3 linked regions of the Caenorhabditis elegans genome follow. The protein of the gene in region 2 purifies or fractionates together with the protein of the main gene of each other region. This does not show direct contact. Each region holds a gene or a part of one and is shown on either strand. Other genes may lie near its edges. The genes, in order: apg-1, unc-101 and F53F1.2.

Region 1 (10,023 bases), 1.9 Mb from region 2:
CCTGCAAAATCACATTTTTAATATTTTTTTTGCGGTGAATTTTAAATTATCGTTAAACCGCAAAATAAATGCAGATTTTGTATTCAAAATTTCCAAATTTTCAAAAAAAAACAAGAAAATTCAGAATTTTTGAAAAATATTTGTTTAATATAAAAAAAAAAGGAATTTTTCCAAGAAAAAGCAATTTTTTAATATTCACACATTTTTATACATTTTTTTGGTAAATTAAACAAAAAATCGTTACAAAATGAAGATTTTTTGCCCAAAATTGAAAAAAAAAAGATTTTTTTAACTAAAAAATACGGAATTTTTCCTAGAAAAAACCAAATTTTGAACCTCAAATCTCCCAAATTCAAAATCACATTGAATTCCACAGATCGCTGCTGTAACTCCAACTGAATATGAGCCTGATTCATACGAACAAGTGCTCCAATTCGATCTCCAGTCGACTGGAACCTGGTTCCCAGCTTCGCAAGAGCAGTAACTCCATAACATTTTGTCCAAAGTGAGGTTAGAGCAGACGGAAGAACCGATTCAAATACTCCGACAACATCATTTTCAGAGATTGGAGTACTATCAACGTCTGTTGGTTGAAGTAACAAATCTCCAAATTCTCCAATTGTCCAGAAAGCTACTTGAAGCAGTGGTTGAGCATTGATTGCATCTTTTTGAGCGGCATGGTAAAGCTGGGATACTGCATAGCTCTGCAGTTGCTCATTCGCCGAAATCATTTGGATCATACAGGAGACCACCTCGTCAGGAACGTATTTTCCGGCCTGAAAATATGTTGGATTTTTCTTCAATTTTTTAAGGAATTTGCTTTTAATTATAGAAAATTCACCGAATATAATTGTGAAACAATTTATAAATTTTTTCAAAAATTTTTTTTTAAATTTCTCAAAAAAAAAATTTTTATCGGTTATATTTTTTTTTTCTAAATTTTCAGAAATTTCTAGGCCAATTTTTTTTTTTTTTAATTTGAAATAATTTTTCCAAAAAATTTAAAAAACACGAAATTGTGACATTGAAACATTTTTTAATCAAAAATTGGTTGAGGCTCAGCGATTTTGTAGTTTGTAGTGTGAGCCTCACTCATTTTCTTGGCGTATTTTAACCATTTTATAGAATTTTTAGGCAAAAAAAAACTGAAATACGCGTTTTTGACAATTTTTTTCGGGCATAAACCTATTAAAACCGATTTTTTTTTCTAAATTTTCGGCATTTTCCCAACTTTTAGCATTAAAAAGATAGCTTTTGGGCCAAAAATGTATGTTGTCAGCGCAATTTTTTCCATTTTTGGAATTTACTAATTTATTTTAAATTAAAAGGCATATTAATGAAGAGAAAACACAAAAATGCGCCATTCGAAAATTGAAAAAAAAATTGGTTGAGGCTCAGCGATTTTGTAGTTTGTAGTGTGAGCCTCAACCAATTTTTGTCGGCGTTTTTTCTAGTAAAATCACATTTTTAATAATTTTTTTTTTGGTAAATTAAACAAAAAATCGTTACAAAATGAATGAAAATTCAGAATTTTTGAAAAAAAAAAATGCATCGAATATAATTGTGAGAAAAATTTAAAAAATTTTTCTAAATTTTTCGAAAATTAAAAAAAATTGACATTTATTTTTCAACATTTTTCATAATTTTCGGCAAAAAAAACTGAAATACGCGTTTTGCGAATTTTTTTTTTGACAAAAATCGATTTAAAAAAAACTTTTTTTTCTGAACTTTTGGCATTTTCAAAGCTTCTAGCACTAAAAAAGTAGTTTTTGGGCCAAAAATGTGTGTTTTTAGGAATTTTTTCTCCAAATTTTGGGTACTTACTAATTTATTTTAATTTCAAAGACATATTCTTTAAGAAAAAAAAATAAAAAACACAAAAATGCGCTATTTAAAAATTTGGAAAAAAAAATAGGTTGAGGCTCAGCGTTTTTGTAGTTTGTAGTGTGAGAAAAATCGCAACTCTTATCATTAAAAAGATAGCTTTTCGGCCAAAAAATGTGAGTTTTCAGCAATTTTTTCTAAATTTTCGGGATTTACAAATTTATTTTGATTTCAAAGACATATTATTAAAGAAAGCAAAAAAAAAAACACAAAAATGCGGCATTTAAAAATTTACAAAAAAATTGGTTGAGGCTCAGCGTTTTTGTAGTTTGTAGTGTGAGCCTCACCCAATTTATGTCGGCATTTTTTTTCAATTTTTTAAAGGAAAAAAGTCATAAAATACGTATTGTGTGTTTAATTTGCGCGGGAAGAATTCAAAATTAATTCAAAAAAAAAAATGATTTGGGACAAATTTCCGTAATTCTAGCTTTGCAAAATTGTAGTTTGTAGCCACTAGCCTCAACCAAAATTGATTTTTTTCTCATTTTTCGGATATGAAGTTTTAATTTCAAAAAGGTCAGGAAAATCTAAAAATTATTCGATTTTTTCTACAATATCGGATAATTTTCCTCATTTTTACAATTAAAAACTCGAAAAACCACGAAAAATCAAAATTTTCGCCTATTAATTCATTTCGAGAGACTACAAACTACAACTTTTTGAGCCTCAACCATTTTGTAGTTTGTAGTATAGTCGTTTTTCTGCAAATTTGATAAGTTTCGGAATTTAACATTTAAAAAAAATTTCCCGTAAAATTTATATAAAAGACAATCAATAAAAGTTAGACTACAAACTACAATTTTCTGAGCCTCAACCAATTCTGGTTGAGGCCCAAAATATTGTAGTTTGTAGTCTGCTTCGATTTTTCGTGAGATTTCTAGTTTTTTGGACTTTTAGAGCCAAATTTCGCCAATTTTATCCATTTTTTCAAGGAAATTTATCCAAAAAAACTACCGTACCAATCTAAGTACAGTAATCATCGTATCCAAATGCCATTCATGATTCGGCGAATATCTTTCCGTTGCAATATACATTCGTGAAGCACATTCCGATTTGAATTCAGCGTCGGCGGTCTCGAGGAAAATGAGCACTTCTTTCGTCATTATTGCGATATTTGTACGGTTCATCAGAGCAAAGCAGAGCTCCATTGCACGTTTTCTGATCGAAATATCCGGATCTTTGAGACATTCAACGACTACGTTACGGTGACGTTGTACGGCCTGAAAAAAACATTGAAATTAACAAAAAAAACTCGGGAGAAAATTATATATTTTTAGGTTAAAACTGATTAGAAATTTCTTTTTAAAAAATGGTTGAGGCTATAAAATGTGTAGTTTGTAGTCTATAAACTAAAAAAAATTTATTGTTAAAGCTCGATAGAAAACGTAAAATTTGAATTTAAAAAAGGAATTTAAAGTTTCCAAAAATTCTTAATATAAAAAATTGAGTGAGGCTCACACTACAAACTACAACTCCACAGCCTCATCAAATCTGGTTGAGGCTAGAAAAAGTGTAGTTTGTAGTGCGTGAGCCTCAATCAAGCTACAAAATTCAAAAATTCGTTGAAAAACTTGATTTTCCGGACAATTTTCATTAAATTAGGTGATTTCCATGTGGAAAACTCATCATAAAATTGAAAATTTTGTATTAAACGGAAAAATTTTAATAAAATAAACAGAAAATGAACTGAAATTGGTTGAGGCTCACACTACAAACTACACATTTCTTCAGCCTCCCCAAACTTGGTTGAGGCTAGAAAAAGTGTAGTTTGCAGTGCGTGAGCCTCAACCAATTATCACTTGGACAGTTTGGCCTGCAAAATATGAAATTTTATGAAAAACTGGGTTTTTTTGGGGGGAAAATTGTACTAAAAAAGCTAAGTTTCACGTTCAAAACGGAAAAAAATGAAATTGAATGAGGCTCCCACTACAAACTACAACTCCACAGCCTCTAAAAACTTGGTTGAGGCTAGAAAAAGTGTAGTTTGTAGTGTAAGCCTCAACCAATTATTATTTACACAGTTTGAGCTGCAAAATGGAATAATTTATTGAAAAACTGATTTTTTAGGCAAAATTTTACTAAAAAGCTAAGTTTCACGTCGAAAACGGAATAGAAAACTAAAAATAAATTTGGTTGAGGCTCACACTACAAACTACAACTCCACAGCCTCATCAAATCTGGTTGAGGCTAGAAAAAGTGTAGTTTGTAGTGCGTGAGCCTCAACCAAGCTGCAAATTTGTCAAAAAACTTGGTTTTCCGGACAAGTTTTAGGCGATTTTCATGTTGAAAACTGAATTTTCAAAATTCTGTTAAAATAAACAAAAAATGAACTGAAATTGAGTGAGGCTCACAATACAAACTACAACTCCACAGCCTCCCCAAATTTGGTTGAGGCTAGAAAAAGTGTAGTTTGTAGTGTGTGAGCCTCAACCAAGCTACAAAATTCGAAAATTCGTTGAAAAACTTGTTTTTCTCGACAATTTTTACTAAAACATGCGATTTTCATTTTGAAAACTCATCAGAATAATTTTTTAAAAAATTCTATTAAAATTAACAACAGAAATAAAATGAAATAAATTTAGTTGAGGCTCTCACACTACAAACTACACACTTTTTCAGCCTCAACCCACCGCCAAAACCTCAATTTTTGAGCCAAAATCGCCATTTTTTCCTTTTTTTTTTTTCCACAAAATCCAACCTGATAATCAACATGAACAGTCTTCAGAAGCGTATTCAACGCCACATATCGAATATTCTTATCCGTATTCAAAAGGAATCGTCCAAGAATGTTCACAGCCAAAATGCGCAGGCCACTCTCGCTCTTAATCTCCATAATCGTGAGTACAGTCTCATAGAGAATCGCGTTTCCGACATTTTTCGCCGTTTCCGTATTCGTTGCCACTTGCGCCAGAATATCATTCATCTCTTCAGTGACACGTACGTCATCCTTCCCCAAAACTCTCAATAATCTCAGAATTTTGACCTGAAGGAACGGGTCAGAGATGCCGGTGACGTCGTGTTCCGGCGAATATCCACTCATTAGAAGATTCTTTAGAATCCGTACCAAATTCGGCACCAATTTCTTAAAATGATTCAAGACATCCGGAGATTTCTCGCACATTTCTGTGACCAAAGTCGTTGCGCCCATCAAAACTCCGTGATTTTTCTCTCCCAGAAGCGATCGGGTACATGGAATGAAGACTTCCATCAGCTCCGGCACTTTTCGAACGATACGGAACGCACAGAGCGCCGCTTTTTTCTTTAAATACGCATTGTTCTGCTTGATGATCTTCTCAACCTCGTTGGCCAGGTCTCGACACATTTCCGCTGAGCAAATTGAGCCCAGAGTGCAGAGAGCTAGTCCGCTGACGAATTGGGTGGAACAGGTGAGGTCGCTGGAAATGAAGAATTTAGTTTTAAAAAATAGAGTTTTCCGCGGAAATTGGGATTTTTTGCTTTTATTGTATCGAAAAATAGTGAAAATTCGATGAAAAACATTGAAAATGAGCAAAATATTAGTTGAGGCTCAGGCTACAAACTACAACTTCTGTCAGCCTCACCAAATTGGAAAACAAATCGTTTAAAATTTGGATTTTTAGCAAAATTTTCACCTTTTTTGCTCAATTTCCGGATTTTACAACCAATTTCTCTATTATTTCGTCGAAAAATAGTGAAAATTCGATGAAAAACATTGAAAATGAGCAAAATATTAGTTGAGGCTAAGACTACAAACTACAACTTTCTGTCAGCCTCACCAAAGTTGGAAGAAATCGTTTTATATTTGGATTTCTAGCAAAATCGTGAATTTTAAAGCAAAAATTCCAGTTTTTAGAACCAAATTCACTAATTTTAGCTCGAAAAATAGTAAAAATTGATGAAAAATCACTAAAAATGAGCAAAATCAAGTTAAAAATCTTGGTTGAGGCTTAGGCTACAAACTACAACTTTTGTCAGCCTCCCCAAAGCTGCTGGTTGAGGCTAAAAAAGTTGTAGTTTGTAGTCTACGCCTCAACCAAAATAATAATTCTTCGGATTTTTTTGTTTTCTATAGCATTTTTTACTGTAAAATCTCATTTTTGCATTGAAAATCCTTTAAAAATTGCTTTTTCTTCAAAAAATCAAATTTTGATGAGAAAAATCGCAGAAAAAAAGCTTTTAAACAAGATTTTTTCATTTTCATGGGTTTTTGCTAACTTTTTAAGCGAATTAGTGACGAGCATATGAACTTCCGATCGTTCATCGAGAAGAAGCATAGCTCCAAGATACCCAATTCGTTTGTCAGTGAATCGGGGGTGAGCCACCAGTTTCATGCACTCCATCTGAATAACAAATAATTTAATTTCCGGCGAAAAACGGTTCAATAACCTGTCCAAAATGCGCTGGGTAGCCGAGCATATGAATATAGAGCAATTTCGCGATATTTCTACATTTCCACGGAGAATCATCGTCTCGGAAGCTTTCTCGAATATTCGCACTTTCTCTATCCACCACTGCTCGCTCTTCAGCCATCGTTCGTGCCGCTCTGACCTGCCGAATTAGGTCTCGAAGCCGCATCGGAGTGCCGAGAGTTCTGAAAAAATAGAATTTACTGGGGAAATTTCGCAAAAATTTGAGTTTTTTAATGTTACAAACCTTCCAATCTTCGACTTATACTCATCGATCTTCTCAATGGCTAGCTCGACAGCCGTCGCCATCCTTGGAGCCTCACCCTGCAAAAATTCCTCATTTTTTGACGTTTTTTTTGGAGTTTTTTAGTTTTTTTTACAGCTCAGCAGTGAAAGTAAGTGGAATAAGTGAAATAAACGACGCTTATTAGTGAAAAAATGAATTTTTTAATCAAAAAATCACGAAAATCCACTAGAAAAAGCTGAAAAATCAGTGACAACACTGCAATTTTATTGATTTTTTGCATTTTACAATCCAACGCAGGGGGCGAGTCCGCAATTGCGCGTGAGGTCTGGTGTGGAGGTACCCGATTGCAGACCGTAGTAGGGGGAATTTAATTTTTGTTTTTTTTCTTTTTTCAATTTTTCGATTAAAAATCACTGAAACTTGAACTTTTCGCCAAAAAAATCGATTTTTTCCAGATGAACACCGAAGAATCGTCGTCCTCACAAGAATTGGAGGAGAAAAAACCGTCTCTCCGCGCTGAAAGATGCGGGATAGCGTCGCTTTTGTCTTCGGTAATTAAATTTCACTTGTTTTCCAAAGAAAAACCGCTTGCTTTTTAGCTCCGCAGTGACCATCTTGCGTCGAAAATCGATGAGCTATCGACCACAGAGGCTGCTGCTTCAGAAGAAATTCCCGAAGAAATCCCAGAAAACCGCCCATTAAATCGAAAAGAGAAGCGAAAACTCCAGAGAATGCAGGAAATTGACCAAGAAGTCAAGAAAAAAGCTCAAGAACCTGTAGAAATCGCCGAAATCCCCACAAATCTTAAAAATACATTTTGGTATCTGAAAATTCGAATTTTAAGTCAAAAAATCTGAAATTTTCAGCGATAAAGCCACTTTCAACTCGTACAACGCTCAATTCGGCTATAAATCAACGGAAAATAATAATTTTGTGCACTTTTCCATTCAAAATGAACAGGGAAACCGGGCTCTTGTGGCTTCACAGGATAGATTTATAAGAATGTATAAAATAGATGAAACTGTCGGTTTTTCTTCCAAAATTTCTGTAAAATAACGCTAAAAATTGCAGCCAGAAGTGATATGGAAGCATAATACGGGAAATTTGGTGCTGGATTCTTGTTGGGAAAACTCTGGAAAAGGGGTGTTCTCGTCGTCAAAACTGCGTCCAATTCAGCTATTTGATACGGAAAATGGAAGTATTCTCGGTGCTTATAATGGAAAAGATGCTGGGGTTGGTTTTTTTTTTTGCAAAAAAAAAAACGAAAAAAAAATGCTTAAAAATTGACATTTTTACATAAAAATCCAAAAAAAATTGGTTGAGGCTCAGAGACTACAAACTACAATTTTCTGAGCCCCAACCAATATTGGGTGAGGCTAAAAATAGTTGTAGTTTGTAGTCTTTAAAAGTAATTTTTCACTTTTTTTTCAATTAAAATCTGTTTTTTAATCAAATTTGTGCCAAAAACCTCTAAAAATAACTGAAAATTGCTAATTTTTTAAACAAAAATGCATTGATTGAGGCTCAGACTACAAACTACAATTTTCTGAGCCTCAACCAATATTGGGTGAGGCTGAAAAAGTTGTAGTTTGTAGTCTCTAAAAGAAATGTTTCACTTTTTTTCAAATTAAAGCTGCTTTTTAATCAAATTTGTGCCAAAAACTCGAAAAACCACGAAAAATTAAAATCTTCGCCTATTAATTCATTTCGAGACTACAAACTACAACTTTTTGAGCCTCAACCATTTTGTAGTTTGTAGTATAGTCGTTTTTCTGCAAATTTGATAAGTTTCAGAATTTAACATTTTAAAAAAATTTCCCTTAAAATTTATATAAAAAACAATCAATAAAAGTTAGACTACAAACTACAATTTTCTGAGCCTCAACCAATTCTGGTTGAGGCTAAAAAAGTTGTAGTTTGTAGTCTAAGCCTCACCCAAAATCGATTTTCAACCGTTTTTAGTGATTTTTAAGTCAAAATTTCCCGTATTTTCACCAAATTAAACAAAAAATTCAATATATTTGCAGGACAATATCACTGCGGCGATGAGCATCGGACAAAGTGGAAGCTCATTGATAGGCGGATTCAAGAACAAATTTCAAATCTGGGATATCGAATATACAGGCGACGCTATTCAACATATCAAGTCATTTGATAATGATTGTGAGCAAAGAAATTTTATCTAAAATAGGATTTTCCAGAGTTTTACAAATTTTTTGCCTGAAAAATTATTGTGACGTAAGTATTACAGAAACTGAAAATTCTGAGAATGCGTATGGGACAACATATTTGACATATCTATATATCTCGTAGCGAAAACTACAGTAATTCTTTAAATAGGTACTGTAGCGATTATCTCGATCTACGGGCTCGATGATGGTTATATATATATATATATATATAACCAGCCGCTGACCGCGCCTACGGCGCGGGCAACGACTGGCACCATTAAAAGTATTTGACACACATACACTTCCAGAATTTTCTCGATTTTTCTAGAAAGTTCTGGAACATTCCAGAATTTTTTCGAAATTTCTAGAAGATTCTAGATTTCCAGAATTTTAGAATTTTGAGAAAATTTAAATTTCCCGCCAAAATATTTTTCTCAGAAAATTTAAATTTCCCTCCAAAATTTTTTTCTCCGAAAATTTAAATTACCCGCCAAAATATTTTTCACAGAAAATTTAAATTTCCCTCCAAAATATTTTTTCAGAAAATTTAAATTTCCCTCCAAAATATTTTTTTCAGAAAATTTAAATTTCCCGCTAAAACATTTTTCGCAGAAAATTTAAATTTCCCGCCAAAATTTTGGGTCTTACCACGGTGGGTCTCACCACGACGGGTCTCACCACGATGGGTCTCACCTCGATGGGTCTCGCCACGATGGGTTTCACCACGAAGGGTCACTCCAGAATTTTCTCGATTTTTCTAGAAAGTTCTGGAACATTCCAGAATTTTCTCGATTTTTCTAGAAAGTTCTGGAACATTCTAGAGTTTTCCAGAAGGTTCTAAAGCTTTTCAGAATTTTCCAGAAGGTTCTGGAACATTCTAGAATTTTCCAGAAATTCCCAGAAGGATTCCCAGAAGGTTCTGGAACATTTCAGAATTTTCCCGAAGTTTCCAATTTCCCTTCCGAAGACGGAAAGTCAATTTTTCCCAAACTACAGTAATCCTATAGTACTCTTACAGTACTCCTACAGTACTACTACAGTACCCCGACCATATCCCACCACTAACCGCAAACCTATATCTCTTCAAAAGACAAAAACTCAATTCTTCCTAAACTACAGTAATCCTACAGTACTCCTACAGTACTCCTACAGTACCCCGACCATATCCCACCACTAACCCCAAACCTATTTGCACGTCAAATGTGTTGTCCCGTACGCATTCTCAGAATTCAGTGTTCCCGTAATAATAAGTACGTGATAACGAAACTTTTAAAATACAAGAAAATTTTAAAAAAATCAATAATATAATTTCCAGACAACACAGGAACAACGGGAC
Region 2 (12,617 bases):
TTCTTGATGACTTAGATCCTTAGAATTCGGAAGCTTTGATTTCCAGGAAGCTTAGGCTTAGATTCAAGTGTCCCTAATCTTTGCTTCTAATATCCATTGGGCTAGATCCGTCTGAGATCCATAAAGGCTCTATATCCCGAGCTTTCAGCCTACCTCGACGCCAAGGAGCACTTGATGAACACTCCAATGCTCTCACCAGTCTACTTCATTCTCGGAGGATCCAAGAAGGACGAGGGATGCATCATCGCTAGAAGTCTCGACAAGACCGCACTTCTCACCGAGATGGCCACATCCCCACACGGATGGTACCTGTTGGAGACCAACTACGATCAGGGAACCGAGGTGAGAGATGCTAGAGTTGAAGGTGTAGAGTAGGTTCTGGTAGACGGATCTAGGGGCCCAACTTTTAGGAGAGGTCCTTCTCTAGGCCTAGGTCTAGTATTTTGAACCCAGCTTCTTTTTTTGAGTGGGTCGAACTCCTAGCTAGAAATTTTGATCAAAAATCTGTCAAAACCTATCCGGAATTAACTTATCCAACATTTCCCTCTTCCAGGACCTCTACCTTGACGACCGTGACACTCCGGGATTCCGTTGCATGGACAAGTTGACCCAGAAGAACGTCGGATTCGAGGGAATCTTCAACGTCTTGTCATCCCGCACCAACCTGAATAAGCTCACCACCTACACCGTCCTCATGTCCGTCGAGACTTCTCGCTTCGAGACCATCCTTCAATCCTGCCCGGGAGAATGCTATCCATGGTAGATTGGATTCAACATTCTCATATACGCAATGATTCATTGAAATAAACTTTCATTTTTGTAAATAAACTTTGATGGGTTCTTGTTTGAAAACGAAATTTTCATAAAATTTAAAAATTTTAGAGTTTTTTGGTTTTTTTTAAACAAAAATTAAAAATTTTAATTTTCCCGCTGGAAAAAAATAATGAGTTACGGTAGATTTAAAGGCGCATGCACCGAAACTTATCGAGGTTACCAAAGTTATTGCTTTTTGTGGAATTTTACATTTAAAAAATAATTGTTTGCTAATTTTATGGTTTTTCGTCGTTTTTTCGTTTCTAACCAAGTTTTCCTCCTGAAATTCAAATTTCGTCACAATTTTATTAAAAATGGGATACGGTAGATTTAAAGGCGCATGCCTAAATATTTCTTCTGAGTCTCGTAGCGATTGGTGGTTTTGTGGAATTTTCTACTAGAAAAATGAATTTAAACTGATTTTCCAGTATTTTTACACAAATTTTTTTTATTTCAATTCAATTTTCAAATTATTCAATTCAATTTTCTGGCGGAAATTGCCAGTTTTTGTCATTATTGTCCAATAAAATAAGGTACGGTAGTTTTAAAGGCGCACACCTAAATTTTGCTCCCTTGGTTTCAGTTTTGAATTTTTAAAATAGAATTTTAACCGATTTTCGTCGATTTTCACTTAATTTTTTGCACTTTTCCGACGAAAAAGTCGATTTTTTGCAAAATTCGGTATTTTTCTCCATTTTTTCGCGAAAAAACCGCTATAAACCAAATTCTCCACCTTTTCCATCCAATTAATCCGTCTCCAAGGCCTCCTGCACCGCTGCTGCCGCTCCGTCACTCGCCGAGAGAGTATATAAAGTGAAGAGACTGCAGACTGCAAGAGGGCGTGCCCGCCAGCAGCCGATATCCATCTTTGCACTCATTTTCTTCGATTTTCCTCCGTTTTCCGCTAATTTTCTCCGGATTTTCAGTATTTTCCAGTAGCTGCCACGTGGAATTTGACGATTTTAACGAGAAAATCGCAAAAAATCGTCGAAAATGGCGACTTCCGCCATGTTTATACTGGATTTGAAGGGAAAAGTGAGTTTTTTAGTGTTTTTCACGTCGGAAAATGCCAATTTTCGCATTTTTCAGACGATAATTTCTCGAAATTATCGCGGAGACATCGACATGACGGCAATCGATAAATTCATTCATTTACTCATGGAAAAAGAGGAAGAAGGCTCGGCAGCGCCCGTTTTGACCTATCAGGACACGAATTTCGTGTTTATCAAGCACACAAATATTTATTGTGGGTTTTTTGTGTGAAAAATTGAATTTAAAATCAAAAATTAGATAGAAAAATGGCAAAATTGAAGAAAATCCGTTGAAAATGACGCAATTGGTCAGAAATTTGAATTTTCAAGCCAAAAACCGATAAAAAGTGCAATTTTTTGTGGTTTTTAACATTTTCAAATTGAAAATAACGTTTTAAAACTAAAAAATGAGTTGAAAAACAGTGAAAAGTAACAAAATCCCTTGAAAATAACGGAAAACCCAAAAAAATTCAATTTTTTGATTTTAAAGTCAGAAAAATTCAAAAATTCCTTGATTTTCTGAATTCCCGAGTGCTAAAATTCAAAAAAAGCCGAATATTCGTAAAAATTGACTAAAATCAATAAAACTGCGATTTTCGTAATTTTTCCATTTTGTAGTTTATTTGAAATGTGGTAAAAATCTTAAAAAAGGAGCAAAATTGTTTCAAAAATCAAGCTTTTCTGCCAGAAAGTCGATAAATTGCGAAAAATTCGTCATTTTTCACACTTTTTCGACATATTTTCACGATTTTTGAGCCAGAATTGTAAATTTCCGGAAATTTTCCCGCCGACAGCGGGTGCAAGCGCGCTCCAATGATAAAACACCCATTTTTAACGGATTTTCAGTCATTTTCTCCAGAATTTCCAGTCAAAAATTCAAATTTCCCTCATTTCAGTGGTCTCAGCATGCCGTTCAAACGTCAACGTCACAATGATTTTGTCATTTTTGTACAAATGCGTCGAAGTTTTCTCCGAATATTTCAAAGATGTCGAAGAGGAGTCGGTTCGCGACAATTTTGTCGTTATCTATGAACTTTTGGACGAAATGATGGATTTCGGGTTCCCACAGACGACTGAGAGTCGAATTCTACAAGAGTAAGGAGGAAAAACGAGAAAAATTGAAAAAAATTACTCAAAAATTCGAATTTCCCGCACGAAAAATCGTTTCATTTTCTGCTGCAAATGCGCTCCAATGCGAAAATAGCCAAATATTAGCGTTGGAGCGCATTTGCAGCGCGCGATAGCAGTAATTTTAAATTTTGGGTCAAAATATGTATTTTCGACCCTAAAATTTTGAATTTCCAATCACAAATGCGCTCTAATGCAAAAATCGCAAAAAATTTACATTGGAGCGCATTTGCAGTGGCGGGGAATTCAAAAATTCAAATTTTCCTGTTCAAAATGTGTCTTTTGTCTCGAAAATTTGAATTTCTATTTGCAAACGCGCTCCACTGCGATTATTTGCACTGTAGCGCGGTTGCAGCTGGGAAATTTGAATTTTCATTGAAAATTTCAATTTTCTCGCATTCAACATGCAGCAAACGCGCTTCAATGCAAAAATCGCAAAAGTTCACATTGGAGCGCAATTTTCCTGTTCAAAATGTGTTTTTCGACTCGAAAATTTGAATTTTTGTGCAAAATTATCATCGATTTTTCCTCAATTTTCAATCAAAAAACCCCCCAATTTTTTGCAGATACATCACACAAGAAGGTCAAAAACTAATTTCGGCACCCCGTCCCCCGATGGCAGTGACAAATGCCGTCTCATGGCGCTCTGAAGGCATAAAATACCGAAAAAACGAGGTTTTCCTGGACGTAATCGAAAGTGTGAACATGTTGGCCAGCGCCAACGGTACCGTACTTCAATCGGAAATTGTTGGAAGCGTTAAAATGCGTGTCTATCTTACCGGAATGCCTGAACTTCGGCTGGGTCTTAACGATAAAGTACTTTTTGAGGGCAGTGGACGTGAGTTTTTTCGAATTTTATGCGAAAATTGAGATTTTTCAGGCAATTTTACCCTAAAATCGATAAAATTTTGTTAAAATTCAACAATTTTAAAGTTTTTAGCGTTTTTCAATTGCGCTCCAATGCGACTTTTTTTAAATTTTTGCAATGGAGCGCGTTTGCAACTTGAAATTCAAACTTCCTACCGCTACAATCGCGCCCCATTGATAATTCTCGATTTTCAGGCGGAAAAAGCAAATCTGTGGAACTGGAAGACGTGAAATTTCATCAATGTGTACGCCTGTCGCGTTTTGACACGGATCGAACGATCTCCTTCATACCGCCCGACGGAGCATTTGAGCTTATGAGCTATCGGTACGAAAAAAGTGGAGAAAATCGGATTTTTAACCGAAAAATCGAGTTTTTCGCATGATTTTGACGGAAATTCAGTGATGTGGCCTAGTTTTTTCGAAAAGTTAGGCCACCGACTTCTAATCTGTGGCCGAAGTTTGATTTTGTCTATTTTTTGGCTTAAATACTCGATTTGAAAGCTGAAAATGCCAGAAAATCCTAGGAAATGCCAATTTACCCACGTGGCCTAGGTTTTTTGGAAGTTAGGCCACCATAGCCTAGTTCGTGGCCGAGTTGTAATTTCGAGTTAATTTCTGCTTTTTTATGCCAAAAACGCTCGAAAAACAATTATAAGGTGTAGAAAATACAAATTTGCTTACGTGGCCTAGGGTTTTCCGGAAAAAACTAGGCCACCAAAGGCCGATTCCTGTTTTTGGGTTCTTTTAGGTCAAAAAACTCGTTATTCAGACGAAGAAGAGCTCAGTAACATGAAAAATTCTAGAAAAATACAAATTTGCATACGTGGCCTAGATTTTACAAGAAAGTTAGGCCACCACTGGCCAATTCATGGCCGAACTCTATTTTTTGGCTAAAAACTCGGCTTCTTTACTACAATAGCTCGATTTTTCTGTAAAAACACGTTAAAACTGTAACAAATGGAACACGTAACATGCAAATTTCCACTCGTGGCCTAGTTTCTCGCAAAAGTTAGGCCACCACTGATCAGTTCGTTGCCGAACTCTATTTTTTGCTGAAAACTGTGTGTCTGGATCAAAATTGTTGGTTTTTCTTAAAAAATAAGTCAAATACACCTGCGGCCTAGGTTTTCGGGTAGAAAATTAGGCCACACCTTAATTTTGAGTCTAAAAAGTTGATCACTAGGCCAAATTTAGCTTGAAAACACTGAAAAATAAAAAAAAAGCAAATTTACATGCGTGGCCTAGGTTTTCAGGTAAAAAGTCAGGCCATGCCTCAATTTTGTGTCGAAAAACTCGATTTTTACCTCAAAAAGCTCCAATTTTTCCTGAAAATTCTCGAAAAATACCGTTTTTTTTCAGATTAACAACCGTGGTGAAGCCGCTGATCTGGATCGAGACAAGCATCGAACGTCACAGTCACAGCCGTGTCTCGTTTATAATCAAAGCGAAATCACAATTCAAACGGCGCTCCACTGCTAATAACGTGGAAATCATTATTCCAGTCCCGTCGGACGCTGATTCACCGAAATTCAAGACAAGCATCGGTTCGGTGAAGTATACGCCCGAGCAATCGGCCTTCGTATGGACTATTAAGAATTTTCCCGGCGGAAAAGAGTACCTTTTGACCGCCCATCTATCTCTACCGTCTGTGATGAGTGAAGAGTCTGAAGGACGGCCGCCGATTAAAGTCAAATTTGAAATTCCGTATTTTACGACCAGCGGCATTCAGGTAGCCGAATTTTTCGCTTAAAATTCGACTTTTTAGCTCAAAAATTCAAATTTCCCACCGCCAAAAACTGCCCAATTTTGAGATTTATGTAATTTTTTCGCTCTAAAATGCTGAAAATTTCATTTAAACACATGATATTATTTAAAAATCCGACTTTTCAACTAGATTATTTGAATTTCCCGCCGACCGCATGTTGCAAGCGCGCTCCACGGATAAAACTGCTCAAAATGCAGATTTTTGTGATTTTTTTGCGTCAAGATGATGCAAATTTCTCGAAAAAACCTAACATTTGACTTTTTAACTCAAAAATTCAAATTTCCCGCCTACCACATATTGCAAGTGCGCTCCACGGAGAAAACGGCTCAAAATTGAGAATTATGTGATTTTTTGGTGTTTAAGGGTGATAAAATCTTCTAAAAAAAAGGCTTGAAAATTCAATTTTTCCCATAAATTCCACCAAGTAAACCCTAATTTTCAAATTTTCAGGTCCGTTATCTGAAAATCATCGAGAAAAGTGGATATCAAGCATTGCCGTGGGTCCGCTACATTACTCAAAATGGAGAATACGAGATGCGGATGAAATAATTCCTGAAAAAATTACCTAAATTCATATTTTATTGTATTTTATTCCCAATTTTACTCTTAATTTTTGGAATTTTTTATGAAAAATTGGTGAAAAACGACCGTGGCCGAGTTTTTGGAAAATTTGGAGGTCTAGGCCACCATGCTTCCAGTGGTGGCCTAACTTTTCGAAAATCCTAGGCCACGGCCCCGTTTTCCATCAATTTTTGCCTCTTTTAATGTCAAACATCTCCAATTTTTTCTGTGAAAATTTAATGCTCCGCGAGCTGCTCCCCGGCTCAAAACATGTGTTGTGTGTGCTCTTTCCCCTGATGACCCCGAACTCTATTTTTTTTTGTTCGAAAATTTTTATTTTATTTTTCCCACCGATTTATTTATTGATTTTTATCGCATAATTTAGATTTTTTCCAGAAAAACGAGTTTTTTCCCTTTCCCACCAGCATAATTTTCTCACCACATGGATCCTCATCAATTTTTCCCGTTTTCCTTTTTTCAGTAAATCAATAAATTTTCTGTCATAATTGTTTACAAAATGTTTTCCGGGGGCTAAAAATTCCATTTCAAAAATTGTCTAAATTTCCAGAAAAATCACTGAAAAAAATGCAAAAAATTGCCAGAAAATGCGCCGATTGTTGCCGATTTTTCGTCGAAATTTGCGAATTTCTGCATTTTCGCGTCAATGCACCACATCTGACGACACTTTGCGGACTTTTGCGCCAAATGCGTTGATGGATCGAATTGTGGACGATTTGAAGGTTCGGCAAAGCGGGAATTTGAAAATTTTGAAGATTTAGCATTGGGGCACACTTGCATCACGCTTTTATGGCGCGAAATTTGAATTTTTGCCCTAATTTTGGACTTTTTTTTGCATTGGAGCGCATTTGCATTAGCGGGAAATTCAAATTTCCAACTCTAATTCAATTTTTTCCAGAAAACTGGCACACATTTTGTGATTCCCGGTCGAGATTCCTTTGCCAGACAGGAATCGGCAAAAGTTTTCGAAAAACTTTTGGAAAATGGTAGGTTTTGCTAATTTTTTTTAGTGAAAAATTTGAAAAAACGAAAAATCGAGGGTTTTGAGCATTTTGACTCTGAAAAAACAAAAAAAACTAGATTTTGAAGCATTTTATCCGTGGAGCGCACTTGCAACATGTGGTCGGCGGGAAATTCAAATTTTTGAAATAAAACACGGAATTTAGGCGAATTTTATGTTTTTACAGACGATTTTCAAGCATTTTGAGTCTGAAAATTCGCAAAAATCCTGATTTTGGGCTGTTTTATCCATGGAGCGCACTTGCGCAATGTGGTTGGCGGGGATTTCAAATTCTTGAGTTAAACTATATTTTTGAGCGTTTTAACGTAGTTTTCTTTAATTTAAAGCCATCTTTCACCATAATAAATCAAATTTTCAGTGATTTTTCAGACATTTATCGATTTTTCCTCAAAAATCCCACAATTTTCAGGTGTAAAATGCGAATTTCTGCTGGATGCGAACACAAAAAACGCCACACTGTTCCGTACAATTGTCTCACAGCCTGGCGCCTCACTGGAGGTACGTTTGGATGGGGTACTGTAGAAAAACCAATTTATTTTTGGGAAAAAATTTTTAGAGAGAGGGGAGAAATTTCGCGGAAATTTTTGATAAGAACGGATAATTGAGATAAGATGAGAAATTTTTGTTTTTTGCAGATTTTGGAGACGATTGTCAATGTTGGATATGTCACTTTTGAGGATGCGATTCGACTTTTGGCACTGTAAGTCTTTTTTTTGGAAAAAATTCGGATATTTTGAGGAAAAAAAATGTATTTTTCAAAATTATTTACCTAAATTTCCATATGGCTTTTTAAGAATGTGAAATTCAAATTCAGCTCGCCGAGATCTTTTGAATGACCCCCATCATGCCTAGGGAGGGTCTCGCCGCGAAAGTTTTGGGTCTCGCAACGAAAACTTGAGTTTAAAGGGAAATAGGGCATGATTATACTTAAATGAAAGGTCTCGACGCGAAAAGCTCTAAAAATTAGGTTTCAAAATTTCTAGGCCAACAGGTAGAAAGTTAGGTCACGATTTTTTCAATTTTGGCCTTGCAACAAAAATTGGAGCTTAAAAAGCTGGCGCATAGGGCAACGTGGCAAATTCAAAAAATTAGGCTTTGGAATTTCTAGGCCACTGGGTGAAAAGTTAGGCCATCAAAAGCCCCCGGCTTTGGGGTGTCATGTAAAAATACCTTGAGATCCCAAATTTTTTTCGCTAAAGTTTCCCAAATTGGAGAAAAAGTTGGTCTCGTCAATATTTTTGATGATACGACGGACGACACGAAACGGGTAATTAATCATACTCTCAACTCGCCCTTCTCACACCTTTCCTACAGTCATTTTTTCACACTTTTATCTTTTGATTCGCTATGAAACTTTCACTTTTACACGCCCTGAACGCTGGAGATGCGACGACAACGAGGACGATAATCATCAAAAATCCATTCATTTTTCTCACACATTTTCGCTCGCGCGATTTTATTTGATTTTATGATTTTCACGTAATTTTTCTATCTCGCTTCATAATTTATTTATCAGTTACATTTTTGTGGATCTTGTGTCACAAAAGTTGGGCCTCCGAGAGAAAAGTCTGAAAAAAGTTATTCCGAAATAAACACTTGGTGCCAGAAGTTCCCATTTTGGTTTGATCTACCTAGATCTACAAAAAATGCGGGAGTAGAGACGCAGAGTTCTCGGCTGACTTAGCATGGTTAAGAACGTGCTGACGTCACATTTTTTTGGGGGAAATATTCCCACATTTTTTGTAGATCAAACCGTAATGGGACAGCCTGACACCACGAGCTCGGCCAACGGCAATCGGTTTTCAACGTATTTAACTGAAAATTCGCCATGAAATTAAGTGTTCTAAAAACTTCTATATCTCAAAAACTAGAGCTGCTATCGAAAAGTTGTCAACTAGCAATTTGTTCCGCGAATTATAAGGAACAACTTGTTAGTTGAAAATTTACAGCTAACTTCTAATCCTGATGAGTTATCACTAGTTTAAGACCGTCAACGTATCGGCACTCGCCTATCATGAAGTTTTCATGTAGCGATAACTTTTCAATGACTAATGTTAGTTAAAAATTGTCAACTGGAAAGTTATTCCTTATATTCTGAAGATTCGTTTTCCAGGTGACAACTTTTTGGTAGCACTTCTAGTTTTGGAGATACGGGAGTTTTTCGGTTTCGTCTAGAAAAACTTTTATATCTCAAAAACTAGAGCTGCTATCGAAAAGTTTTCAACTAACAATTTGGTCCTTAGAATATAAGGAACAATTTGTTAGTGGACGATTTTTACCTAACTTCTAATGCTGATGAGTTATGACTAGTTAAAGACCGCCAACTTTTGGCACTCGCAGGGTTCAAGCAGCGATAACTTATCAGCAGTTGGTGCTAGCTGGAATTTGTCAGCTAAACATTTTTACCTTATGTACTGAGGTTCATTTTTCAAGTTGGCAAATTTTTGATGGCTCTCATGGTTCCGAAGTTACGGCGATTTTTTTTTTTGAAATTCGTTTCGAAAGTTCAACTTCCGTGTAAACAGCCAAATCGAATTAAACTGTTAGCCAATCTTTCGTGCTTCCAGCTTCCCGGACGATCTTCTCCGTCACGGATCCCCCAGCATCACCAAAAACATTGAAGCTCTCTCCGCCTGTGGTATCTCGACTCCCCGCACAATTGGCTCGGCAATCAAGAAATGCCCACCGTTGCTCTTCGCCCGGGACCCCCAGGAAATGCAACGACTGGCTCACGAGATTGGTGGATTTTTCTCCAGAAAGCAGGTGAGTGCACAACTTTTAATCTAAAGATTATAGTTAATGGCTTCTTAATCTTCCGCTTATAGCCCTAATCCCCACTTTCTCCCCGAAAAATCTCAAAAATCATTAGCTTTTGCATATTTTCATTGCAAAATTCGAATTCCTGCGCTATTTTTACCCCTATAAGCGTTTTTCTCCAGCTTCAACTCGTTGTTTTGAATTTCTGTGCATTTTTGCGTGAGCCTCGCGGTGTTTGCGTACTTTTGGCGCTACCGTAACCCGACATTTTGAAAATCAACACCAGGAGCTTAGCGAATATTTATTTAGAGGTAGAATTGGCTGAAAAATCCGAATTTCTCAGTTAAAATTTGCGAAAATCAATAATTTTCCAAATTTTCAAAAAAAAAAAAAAATTTTTTTACAGGCCGGTCATCTCATCTCCCGTTGCCCGCAGATTTTGCTAAAGCCAATTGAAGAAATTGAGGAGAAGTATGAGTACATGTTTTATCAGGTAAGACTCCGCCCACTTTTTGAGTCTCGGCGAGAAAATTTTGGGTCTCACCACGAAAAGTGCATTTTAAAGACACAGTAGGGCATGATTATACTTAAATGAAAGGTCTCAACGCGATGATTTCAAAATTTTAGGTCTTGAAATTTCTAGGCCACCAGCTGAAAAGTTAGGCCACGTAAACCATTTTGGCTTAAAATCGTCGGTTTCCAACCATTTTTCGCTATTTTCAGATGGGCGTTGAAGCTGATGACGTGGCAGAATGCATCGGTTGGATCGATATTCTCACGTTTGACGAAATCGTTGATCGCCACAAATTCCTGCTGGCGACCGGAAAATTCGCGACCCCCGACGCGAAACGGCCCCAAATTCGCATCGAAAATCCGAAATTACAGAGCATTTTGGATAGTAAGGAGGAGGATTTTGCTGTTAAAGTGAGGAGATGAGAATTTGGAAAATTTGCTGAAAATTTGAGAATTTTTTGTGAAAAATTGGGGAAAATCAACGAGAAATAGGGTTTTTTGGGAGAAAAATCGATAATATATCGATTTTTTCCACAAATTTATTTTAGTTTTTTATCGATTTTTGTGTTAATTTTACTTAAAAATTCCGAGCGGAAAATAAAAAATTCCCCGAAAATGCCAATTTTTTCAGAAATTCAACATTTTCAGGTCGCCCGGGTCACAATGGAGGAATGGATCGTTTTTAAGGCATTGCGTGTCAAGGAAACTATTAATGAGAAAAAAGTAACATTTTTTAGTGTGAAAATAGGAAAAAAAATCAATAATTTTAAATTTTTCTTAAATCTGAAAAAAAAAAATTTTTTGGAAATTTTTTTTTCAAAATTTTCAAATTCCCTTTATAATTTGCGAAAAATTCACAATTTCATATTAGGCTCCCCGAGCTCTTCAAAATGACACCAAAAACGCCTATTTTAGGTCTCGCCGCGAAAGTTTTGGGTCTCGCCACGAAATGTGTCCTTTAAAGGAACAGTAGGACATGATTATACTTGAATTGAAGGTCTCGCCGCGATAAATTTGAAAAATTATGTTGCGAATTTTATAGGCCACCATGTAAAAAATTAGGCCAAGGAAAAAAATTTTTTTTAGGAAAGTTCAGAAATTTTAAATTTTTTGCAATTTCCAGGAACGAAAATTCGAACGAATCAAGCCGTCAAAACGAAAAGCCTACGAAAGACGGCACAAGGAGCGTCAGGAGCTCGCCGAGCACGTTTTTGACGTCTCCCATGGAAATTAGCACCCGGTTTTCACGGATTTCCCTTCGTTTTTTGTTAATTTTTATTGATTTTTCGATAGATTCCGGTAGTTTTTATACCTAGCAAAATTGATTTTTCAAGTTTTTCGGAGATTTTTGACTCTAGACGGTTGATTTTTCGAAAAATTCCCGAAAAATCGATAATTCATTTTTTTCCTTGTTATTTATTGATTTTTCCATTGATTTTTAAGTTTTCTTGTTGAAAAATTTTTTAATTTTTACAAAATTTTATCGATTTTCTCAATTTCCGACAGGTTTCCCACCCTGAATATTTTTTGAGAATTTTTCTTTATTTTTTTTCAGTATTTTCAGCTTTTTGAGGTATCAAAAGCCCAGGGAGATACTCGAAAAATGCACCGATAGCCGACGGACAACTTTCGAGAAATTATTGATTTTTAGGGTGAGTTATTGATTTTTTCGATTTTTAAGAATATTTTTTCGCGGAAATTCAAAATTTGTATCATTTTCGTACTCAGCTCGCCGAGACCTTTCGAATAACACCCATCAGGCCTAGGCTCCACCCCCTTTGGGTCTCGTCACGAAATTCCGGGTCTCGCCACGAAAATTTCAGTTCAAAGACGCATAGGACATTATTATACTCAAATGAAAGGTCTCGGCGCGAGGAATTCAAAAAAATTGAGTTTGAAATATTCTAGGCCATCATGTAAAATTATAGGCCACGAATTTGTAAATTTAATTTTAAAAAATATTTTACAGAAATGTTCACCAACCCTGCGGACGATCCGAGAAGCGGCGTACATTCGCAAAACTTTCACGATTTTTCGATTCCCTGGTTCGAAGAGCTGATGATGCACCAGCAACAGGTAAACTGATGGCCTAACTATACACTCGGCTGCCTAGGATTCCAAGAATCATGCCCTAAGCACCTTT
Region 3 (9,186 bases), on a different chromosome or scaffold from region 2:
CACGAAACTTTGAAACAATACTCTGAAGACTCCGCCCTCCAGAAGAGAACATAGACAGTGTCAGTGACACCTGTACACGTAATTTTTTCGGCGAAAGCTTATCGTCGCCGATAATTCATCAAATTCTGGCTTTGTGTGGCGCGCCAACGGGCACCCAGATCAGAGACACGTTTTCGTTACGCAAGCGTTTCCCTTGACGACTCTTACGAACAATCGAAGGCAAAAGTGATTAAATCGAAAAAAGTGCATGTTATGTGTTGGGTGGTCAATGTGGCGAGATGAGTGCAATGGTACAAGTTCTGGCGCAATACATAATATGTCTGAAGCTTCTGAAGATGATGTGATCGGTGTGATGAAATAAATTATGTGGAAGAAAGCGTTGAAGAATGGAATCTGCATGAGAAAATAGATGATTGATATGGGAACTTTAAAATGTGGCAGTATTGTTTTGGAATCTAGACTACGATGTACTGGATTCTGAGAAACCTGGGAAAGTATTCCATAGACTTATAAAGCTTCAATTCTAAATTTTCAAGTTTAAAGTTTTATAATAACTTGTATTATTCTTCAAGTTTAAAAAAATAGAAAACCGTCTCGACACGATGGAATTTTTTGATGAAGACTGCAAAAAGGAGTGCTCGCCCTAAGGTACGGTAGTTTCCTTCTCCCTGTTGTTTTCTCTGTGCTCCTTGAAGCGCACTTCCTATAACAATTTTCATTCGTGTCGAGACTAGTAACCGTATTTTTGAACCTCTTTTCAGCTCTTATCACCTCCCAAAGTTCTTAGAAATCTGATCAGTGGTTGCTTCTAATTGTTCAAATGATTTATCCAGTTTATTTTATTCAAAACATGCAAGATTGTTCGTTATTCTTTGAAATATTCTCACTATCGAAAGATCTCGATATCCGTTTCTGTAGACGGTTTTCCCATGCCATTGGGAAAGTGTATTTAAACTTTTAGTCTCGTTTTATCTGCACAAGAGATAAACATTATCCTCTTTGCAATTAAATGATAGGTTCAACCTTGAATGATCGAAAGAATTTGTTGCAAAACGGAAATTGCTTTGTGGGGTGTGATAAGAGATATACTCCTAACTTCATCTTGGTTTGACTTTACGCTTTCCCCTATTACGACAAGAAACAATTGAACATGAACAACGATTTTATATAACAAAGGAATCTAATAGGAATTGAATTTAACACTACAATACAAGCCATCCAGTTGTTCGAACGTAGTGCTTGTCTAGGTTCAAGTTGCAGATTTTCTTCACTTCTTCCTCTTCCAGCAGAACTGTTTTCAAATTTTGAGCGAGTCTTTCCGGATTGGTGGACTTTGGAATGATTCCAACTTTTTGACTCGTCGCCCAAGACAAGAGAACCGTCTGAAATTAAATTACTAGATTATGTATCCAATTTAAAATTGTGTTTTTCCATGATTGACTCACTGTTTTTGGAACATGATACTTCTCTGCCAATCTTGTAATAATTTCCGAGGACAACAAGGTCTCATTGTGTCTGGCAAGTGAGGAAAATGCCTGAATAATATATGTTTTTAAATTAAAAAAACCAAAATGTTGCCACGTGTTTTTAAATTGTGGCTTTGTGACTATGACTTGAAAAATATTTCTCAAAACTCAGTTATTGGGCTTCAAAGAGCTGAAAATTGACCCCACAATTATCTAATTTGAATTTCGCGCGTGAATGAGTTTTGTGATTCTCGGCCGTGTACTCCTCTCGGACAATTAGTTAATTAAATTAATATTTTCTTTGTCGATTTTTTCGATTTTAATCATAATAAATAGCAATAAAAAACGAGAAATTATGTTCTATTGTTTTTCTGTTTAAAATAAAAATTTTGAGACACATTTTTTCAATTTATTTGCCATTCTCAGGCGAAATTCAAAAGATTGGCTCAGAGGCTGATTTTTGCATTTTTTTAAAGCTTCTTAACAGACGTTTGAGAAATGTTTGTATTTCGCTTATTTCAAAAGTAAGAAAAAATTACTTGAAAAAAGATTCCTTCTGATTTGCAATAATTTTTGAGTTCTTCACGCGTGAAGTGTGGATGATATTCAACTTGATTGCAACATGGAGGAAAGTTCTACAAAAATGCTGGATTTTAGAAAATAATTTCGAGCCTGTAACTCATACCTTTCCGAGATCTTTAAGCTCTTCCAGATGGCGAATTTCAAAACTGGAAACTCCAACAGATCGAATCTTTCCTGCATTCTTACACTCCCAGAGATCATTCCACGTGGCAATTCGTAGAGTCTTGTTCATCGGATCCTGGTCTCCATAGTCAAATGACTTCGGGTAATGGATGAGATACATATCGATGTAGCTGAAAATCGATAAAATATTATTCTGTAAATTGGAGCAGGAGCTAAGTATATTTACCTAGTTTTCAACAATGACAACGATTCATCCACCAACTTTTTCACATTTTCTACGGTATTGGGATGCATTTTTGTAGTGATAAAAATATCTTCTCTCTTCAGATTATGCTTTGGAAGAAGGATCTTAAACTTGAATTTTTAAAAATATTCCGTCACGCTTGAGTACAAACTTCCAATGCGTCTCCAATTTCTTTCTCATTATTATAAACTTTTGCAGTGTCAAACAGTCGATATCCGGCTGTAAGAGCAGCGTCGAGAACTGGGAGAACCTGATCTCCAATAATTTTATAAGTTCCGAGCCCGATCAGTGGGCAATCGTAACCAGTGTTCAACTTTATGGACATCTGAAAATAATTTTTTTAAAAAATTTTCTAAACGAAACTAAAGATATTATAGCGGAATATTGCGAGAGTGGAAAACTGACGTCATACAATTAAAAAGTTTCAATTTCATGTTAGAGTCACAAGAAAGAGGGAAATATCACAATGTGGGAAAAATGATTATGAAATAAACTGCAATTATTGATAAGCCATTTACTTGACGAGCCATCCGGTGCAACGAATGTAGTGCTGCCCACGATCAAGAGCTGTTAACGATTGAATATCTTCTGGAGTCAGAGCAATATCGATTACTTTGAAGTTTTCTACGATTCTTGATGGGGTCACCGACTTCGGTACGATACCAACATTCTGGCGGAGAGCCCACGCGAGAAGTACAAGCTGAAAAAAGGTATAATTGTTTGAATACAGTCTGAGAATTAATTAAACTTACAGGAACTGATGTATTGTGCTTCTTAGCTAATTCAACGACGACTGGATCTTCAATTAACTTTGGTTCGTGTCTTGCAAGTGAGGAGAAAGCCTGTAAATTGATTATATAAAACGAGTTTTCCCCAGAATATCGAAACTAACCTGGAAGAAAATGTTTTTTTCCTTGCAGTACTTCTGAAGTGGAATTCTTGCAAAATGTGGATGATACTCCAGTTGGTTAGCACATGGCGGCACCTTGGCGTATGTCTTGAGCTCTTCCAAATGCACAATTTCATAGTTTGAAACTCCAATGGAACGAACTTTGCCAGCAGCTAAAATAATAAAATTAATGAAAAATCCAATAGATTTCTGATTTTCAAACCTTTAGCCTCTTCCAGCACTTCATATGCAATTTTCCGGTATTCCGCGTTATTCACATCATCATTGTCAGAGTCATTCGGTTTTGGATAGTGAACAAGATACATATCGATATAGTCGGTTTGAAGAGATTGTAGAGATTCTTCGACAAATCCACGGCAAGCTTCTCGACAATTTTTGCTTTCTGGGAAGAATTTGGATGTCAGGAACACATCAGAACGAGATAATCCATGCTTAGGCAGGAGAATCTGTAAATTTTGAATAAAGAAGATTTGATTACAAAGAGAATGTAAACATAATTTATCTTTGAAATAAAAATATAAAAATTTACCTTTAATGCTTCTCCTAATTCCTTTTCATTCAAATAATACTTTGCCGTGTCAAACATCCGATAACCGGCAGTGAGGGCTGCATCAATTGCTGGCGGAACATTTTCTCCGGTAACTTTGTACGTTCCGAATCCGACGAATGGAATGTTATATCCGGAGTTGAGCTTTTGTGATCCTCCTGGCACATTGGCAAACGAATCCGACATTTTTCTCTGAATTTGAATATATAGCACTGAGAAAATTGCAAAAAGTGCAAGTTTTGAAAGATTAGAAGTTCTAATTTAGAACGATAAAATGGCATATACCGACTGTGGACTAAGAATTGTACAAGAAAAAGAAAGATGCAAAGGGGTTAGAGAAAGAGACAACTTGTCGATGCGGCCTGAATCGAGGTCAGTCGCATCAGGAATGAGCGGACAGCAAAAGTTATTCCCTCACTTTTAAAGAAGTAAAAGTGTTCTTTGGACAGTTTTCTTTAAGAAAAATAATCTGTGAATTTTGTTTCATTGGTGCCAGAGAAACTGATGTTTGGAATTATGCAATAAGCATGAGGATTATAAAAATAAAATTTGAAAAGAAAACTATACATTATTTGAATTCGAAATTATTTTACTTTAAAAGTTCCTTTTCTGTTTTACATCGAAAAAATACCGAAAATTTGGATTGGGCGAGACGCAGAGATTTGCCAGAGAATTAATGTTGGAAATAGCAAAACCTCATTGTATTGTGGTATTCAAAACACTAACGACAAGTTTGGAAAATTAATATATATATGAAACAACAAATAAAAAACGAATAGCAATAAAATAAATTAAAAAAAAAAACAAAAAACAAACAAAATTGGTTGATTATTTGGAATGGCTAAACAACACGCGCTTGCGAAATATCGGAGCATCGTTGGAATTGATTACGGTAATTTTTAAGAAAAGATGTCTGGAAAAGTTGGAAAGTATTATTCCTCCAGGAGCAGTTTGATATTGAAACAAAGGGTTTCAATAAACATGAAACCAAAATTCTATGGAATATAAAAGCTGGTTATTCACAGTGCTCCTCCATTAATTCCCCTCTATTCTTGGATACAACCTATTCTGCAATCTAATATCTCGGTTTAAGATATGGACAATAAAGAAATAAGAAGAACACTTGAGGACTATTTTCCTAAAGGGTTCTTGATCTCAGAATCATCAAAGTATGATTGTCATTTGGAAGACATGCATCTTGTCCTACAGCTTCTCCTAGCTACTCTGGCTGTAAATCCTGTTCCTATTCAAAATTCTTTATACGGTAACTATTTTCAGTAATAAATTTATCTCTGCTTCAAAATATTCAGGAGATGTCCAAGTTGAATGTGACTCGAGAACTATATCAGTTCAAATTAAAACTGAAAAACCATTTGTTGGGGTTATCTTTGTTAAAGATTTTGCGTCGGAAGAAGTGTGTACATCAAGAGGAACTGGAAGACTTTCAGCTTTCTTGGAAATTGAAATAGGATTATGTGGTGCACTGAGACAGCGAGTATTGAATCCAAAGGGACTTGCTGTTCGAACGACAATCACAATTTCATTTCACGTTAGTTATTTATAATAAAACATATTTCCTTATCGCTTTCTGTTTCAGCCATATTTTATCACAAAAGTGGATAGAACTTATAATTTGTTGTGCTTGTACCGGGAGAGCCAAGTCACTGTTGCAAACAACATATCCGTGGATGAAATCTCTACAATAAGCTATAATGTCAATTTGACAATGCCAACTTGTACTTATCAGGTGCGTCATAAACTAAAAATATCTCTTCTGGTTGGCTTCGTGTATACGTATAACTTTAAGATCCTTAGTGGTGGTCCGTTCGGTGAACCTGTAGAATTTGGTTTAATAGGTCAGCAGGTTTATCATCAGTGGAAGTGTGATAATGATAAAGGTATGATAATTCTTATAAAAGGTATGATTTAAAAAAAAATAAAAAAAAAAAAAATAAATAAATAAATTAATATTTATTAAGAGAGTGAGAGCTTAAGCTAAAAATAAAATAATTCCACCAAAGTGCGGCTTCAAGGTGTACTGTAGGATAGGTGTGGAAACTACAGTACTCCTCACATGCGCACGCAATTTTTCGCAGAAGTAATTATTTTATAAGATTGATCGTTTCGGGAGCAGGTTGTGCATAAACGTGCATACGTGGATGAATGAACACAGAATATAAAATTTAAGGCAACCAGTCAAATCATGGGACTAACGATTCTTAGTTTGTTTTCAGAAGACTCATTCTGCATGGTAGTTCACACGTGTTCTGTTGACGATGGACGAGGTGAAACCTCATTTCTCATAGACTCGAATGGGTGCTCAATTGATAAGTTTCTATTGTCGAACCTTGAGTATCCGGGAAACTTACTCGCTGGGCAAGAAGCTCATGTGTATAAGTTTGCTGATCGAGATGCTCTTTTCTTCCAGTGTCAGATATCAATTACCGTCAAAGAGCCAGACCAGGAATGCGTGAGACCAATATGTGAAGATGTAGAAGGCGGTGGAGCACCCGTTGTTGGGCCACCTCCATATGGTATGATTTCGAAAAATTTAGTGAACATTTGGCAAAAAAATTCATTTTTGACATTTTTTAAATCTCCTTATATGTATGTTGTTGGAATTACCAACTATCACAATAAAGCTATTCAGAAACTGTGACATTTTTGTTGCAGTTTTAGGGAAAACCCAGTTTTCACCAGTCATTACTTCGACGTCCTAAAAAGTGTTTTTCTGATGTTCTATTTTGAAAATTCGGTAATATACAAAAAACTTTGATTGAAATTTTCGAGAACTCTAACGTAATAAACACATTTCTAAATGTTTTCAGGTTTTTCTCAAAAGACACAAGTTTCTTTTAATCAACGTGCTAAACGATCAGAAACTAGCCTGGATGAGCAAATTACGGATGTTAGGACACGATTTTCTGTTAGCTATCATTTTGATATTCAAACAAATTCAATTGAAATTATTGAATCTTGTGTTTTATTGTCGACAATGTCTATTCCATTTCTCCTTTTCTACATTCTTATACTAATTTTGACATCAGTAGTTACAGTTATTATTTCTCCAAAAATATAGTTCATATCTTTAATAATCCCTTCCCATTTAAAACCACTGTTATTTTTTCGAAATGAACCATTTTTAATTAGTAGGCTATTTCAACAGAATCCATCACCGTCATTAGACGACGATGACAAGTGATTGATCACACAATCTAAACTGTGTGATTGATTTTCAAACTATTCATGTAATCAAGATAACGATTCGTGGCGTATTGCGGAAGTTGTAAAAAGTCGAGTTTCAGACAAAATTATTTAAATTAGTTACATAAGCTATACATACATGTTTAATTGTAACTCCTGACCTTCTCTCTACAAGTAAGTATATGAAATTTCATTCTTATTCTTCATTTTGAATGAACAATTTTAAAATTTGAAGCTTCTAACAACCATTGTTGCTGAGATCGTTGTGAGACCCACTCAGAAAAATATTGTGATCCTTTGAAGGGAAATATCAAGTTTTTCCGAAATTAGTATATTGAAACGATATCTGTATCATGAGTGGGCGGCAATTCAATTTTCAAAAATTCTAAAACTCGCGCAAATGCCAAACTATCAAGTTATTCATCATTTTTCGAATTGCTGATAAGAAATATCAAAATATCAAGATTGTTATAATTTTTAATGACAGTCATAACTACCTATTAATAATAACTACATTTTTTCAAACTTTCTGTCTATCATTTGTAAAAAAAACGAACTCTATAGCCAAATTGTTGAACATCTTATTACCAAAATTCCAAACTTTGGCAATCGCAGAAAATCCGTACATCGAAAATAAAAATGCTGTAAACCAACTTATCCAACTTTTTCCAAATTCGTGATAAGGATTTGAAAAACTCGAACCGATTTTCTGAATTTCTCATAAGACATCCCCAGTGTCGACGCATCAAAATCTGCATTACAACAAAACATTTGCGTAACATAAATTCAAACGTTTACATAACCTACTTTACCCTAACCTTGATGGTGGTCTTGAGGGTGTAGTTGTAAACTCACCCATCCTTTCACCATTTACAACACCCAACAATACCGACACTGACAGAGTACCAATCAACTTTACTACCCCCCGCTTCCCTCCCGTTCAGTTATAGTTCTTTTTCGAACCCGACAGGAGGGTTCACTACTACACCATCTGCTTCGATGTTTCCCCCCTCTCGACATATACACACTCAGAGTCTCGAGAAATAGTACTTGACGTGGAGACGCAGTGATAAAACTACGCACTGAAACAGTTTTCCGGCGTTGTAATAGAGTTTGAACCAAGAGCACAGAGCCATTGCCTGAGGGTTTGTGCTCTACACACAGCCCTCACATACATCCATCGTTTTGCTCTAGTATGCGTGTGTTCGGACTTTGTATCAATCATGCTCTCCGTGGTTCAATGCCTCCTCTCACTGTCTGCTTTTTCACTTTATCAAAGTCATGTGACGCCATCAGTCACCATACGTCGTCGCAGATTGTTGCTTCTTGCAATTCTCATTCCGGGTTTACAATCGAACGATTTTGATTTGATTTTTTAGTTTAAAAATGTGATCAACTTTTAGACTGAATGTAGAATTCGGTAGGCAGAATAAAACATCGAGAAAATATGATTGGCATTTGGCTCCAGTGTTTTGCACAAATTTGGCTCAAAAAGTATTAACTTGAATCAGACGTTGACTAAACTTTGTCAAAAATTGGGTAAAACTGGGATTTAGGCTACAAAAAAGTTGTAAACAGCAAAACCATCAGAGTCATCTCAAGAAAAATGCAACAAGTTAGATTTTTGTAGAAAACCGACCATGACATTATCCAGAGAGTATACATTTATTATTGAAAATATATAATACATTTATTAATTTTTGCATTGAAACATCTAATTGAAAAGAATTTCCGTCCACAAATTTCAAAGTGGTGCCACCAAATTTTTGTTTTTGTATATTTTCTAACCGATTCTCTGCAACCAAATCTTTTCACTGAATTTTATCTCTGTGTCACTGAAAATAAAATGTCCCACTATCTCCTACAAAGATCTGAATTTTCCTAAAACTTCCTTGAAACTTATCCAATTTGGTAATATTATAGTTCCATTATCTATTGAAAGTACAAATCAACTCAACATCTTCCAATCAACGTCTTTCCAACTTCCTTCTAAAAGTTCCCTAATCGCTTACTGACTCTTCCTCGTTAGCGTAGTAAACTCTCCGGATGTTCATGGACGTTGCCTCTCGTCGTCGTCCTCGTAGTTGTGGCCCACATGTTTGGTTCTGCA

The links.
Region 1: the proteins of unc-101 (region 2) and apg-1 fractionate together in Caenorhabditis elegans (co-fractionation; one large-scale study listed by BioGRID). This does not show direct contact.
Region 3: the proteins of unc-101 (region 2) and F53F1.2 fractionate together in Caenorhabditis elegans (co-fractionation; one large-scale study listed by BioGRID). This does not show direct contact.

Annotation. Positions count from the first base shown.
Region 1 is NC_003279.8:14,402,598-14,412,620, reverse strand, and holds the start of apg-1 (AP-1 complex subunit gamma), read right to left. Parts: upstream 6,594-10,023; 5' UTR 6,579-6,593; coding exon 6,517-6,578; intron 6,455-6,516; coding exon 6,250-6,454; intron 6,204-6,249; coding exon 6,079-6,203; intron 5,280-6,078; coding exon 4,583-5,279; intron 3,105-4,582; coding exon 2,844-3,104; intron 777-2,843; coding exon 337-776; intron 1-336. Other genes in the region: tcab-1 (WD_REPEATS_REGION domain-containing protein), read left to right, coding at 6,972-7,067, 7,116-7,336, 7,383-7,539, 7,588-7,749, 8,544-8,679, 10,003-10,023.
Region 2 is NC_003279.8:12,506,749-12,519,365, forward strand, and holds unc-101 (AP-1 complex subunit mu-1-I), read left to right. Parts: upstream 1-1,550; 5' UTR 1,551-1,806; coding exon 1,807-1,848; intron 1,849-1,902; coding exon 1,903-2,059; intron 2,060-2,740; coding exon 2,741-2,939; intron 2,940-3,538; coding exon 3,539-3,810; intron 3,811-4,034; coding exon 4,035-4,164; intron 4,165-5,198; coding exon 5,199-5,568; intron 5,569-6,054; coding exon 6,055-6,153; 3' UTR 6,154-6,672; downstream 6,673-12,617. Other genes in the region: asah-1 (Acid ceramidase subunit beta), read left to right, coding at 149-342, 554-763; mter-4 (Mitochondrial transcription termination factor family protein), read left to right, coding at 6,771-6,905, 7,082-7,169, 7,614-7,702, 7,840-7,904, 9,772-9,967, 10,368-10,454, 10,685-10,885, 11,123-11,197 and 1 more; K11D2.4 (C2H2-type domain-containing protein), read left to right, coding at 12,446-12,550. UniProt on the Caenorhabditis elegans protein: Component of the adaptor complexes which link clathrin to receptors in coated vesicles. Clathrin-associated protein complexes are believed to interact with the cytoplasmic tails of membrane proteins, leading to their selection and concentration.
Region 3 is NC_003283.11:13,401,796-13,410,981, reverse strand, and holds F53F1.2 (NADP-dependent oxidoreductase domain-containing protein), read right to left. Parts: upstream 4,167-9,186; 5' UTR 4,059-4,166; coding exon 3,855-4,058; intron 3,772-3,854; coding exon 3,528-3,771; intron 3,478-3,527; coding exon 3,308-3,477; intron 3,258-3,307; coding exon 3,168-3,257; intron 3,126-3,167; exon of another isoform or gene 3,116-3,125; coding exon 2,930-3,115; 3' UTR 2,741-2,929; downstream 1-2,740. Other genes in the region: F53F1.3 (NADP-dependent oxidoreductase domain-containing protein), read right to left, coding at 1,203-1,382, 1,446-1,535, 2,006-2,101, 2,152-2,341, 2,398-2,519, 2,567-2,740; cutl-1 (ZP domain-containing protein), read left to right, coding at 4,968-5,136, 5,183-5,421, 5,470-5,619, 5,680-5,770, 6,107-6,406, 6,701-6,951.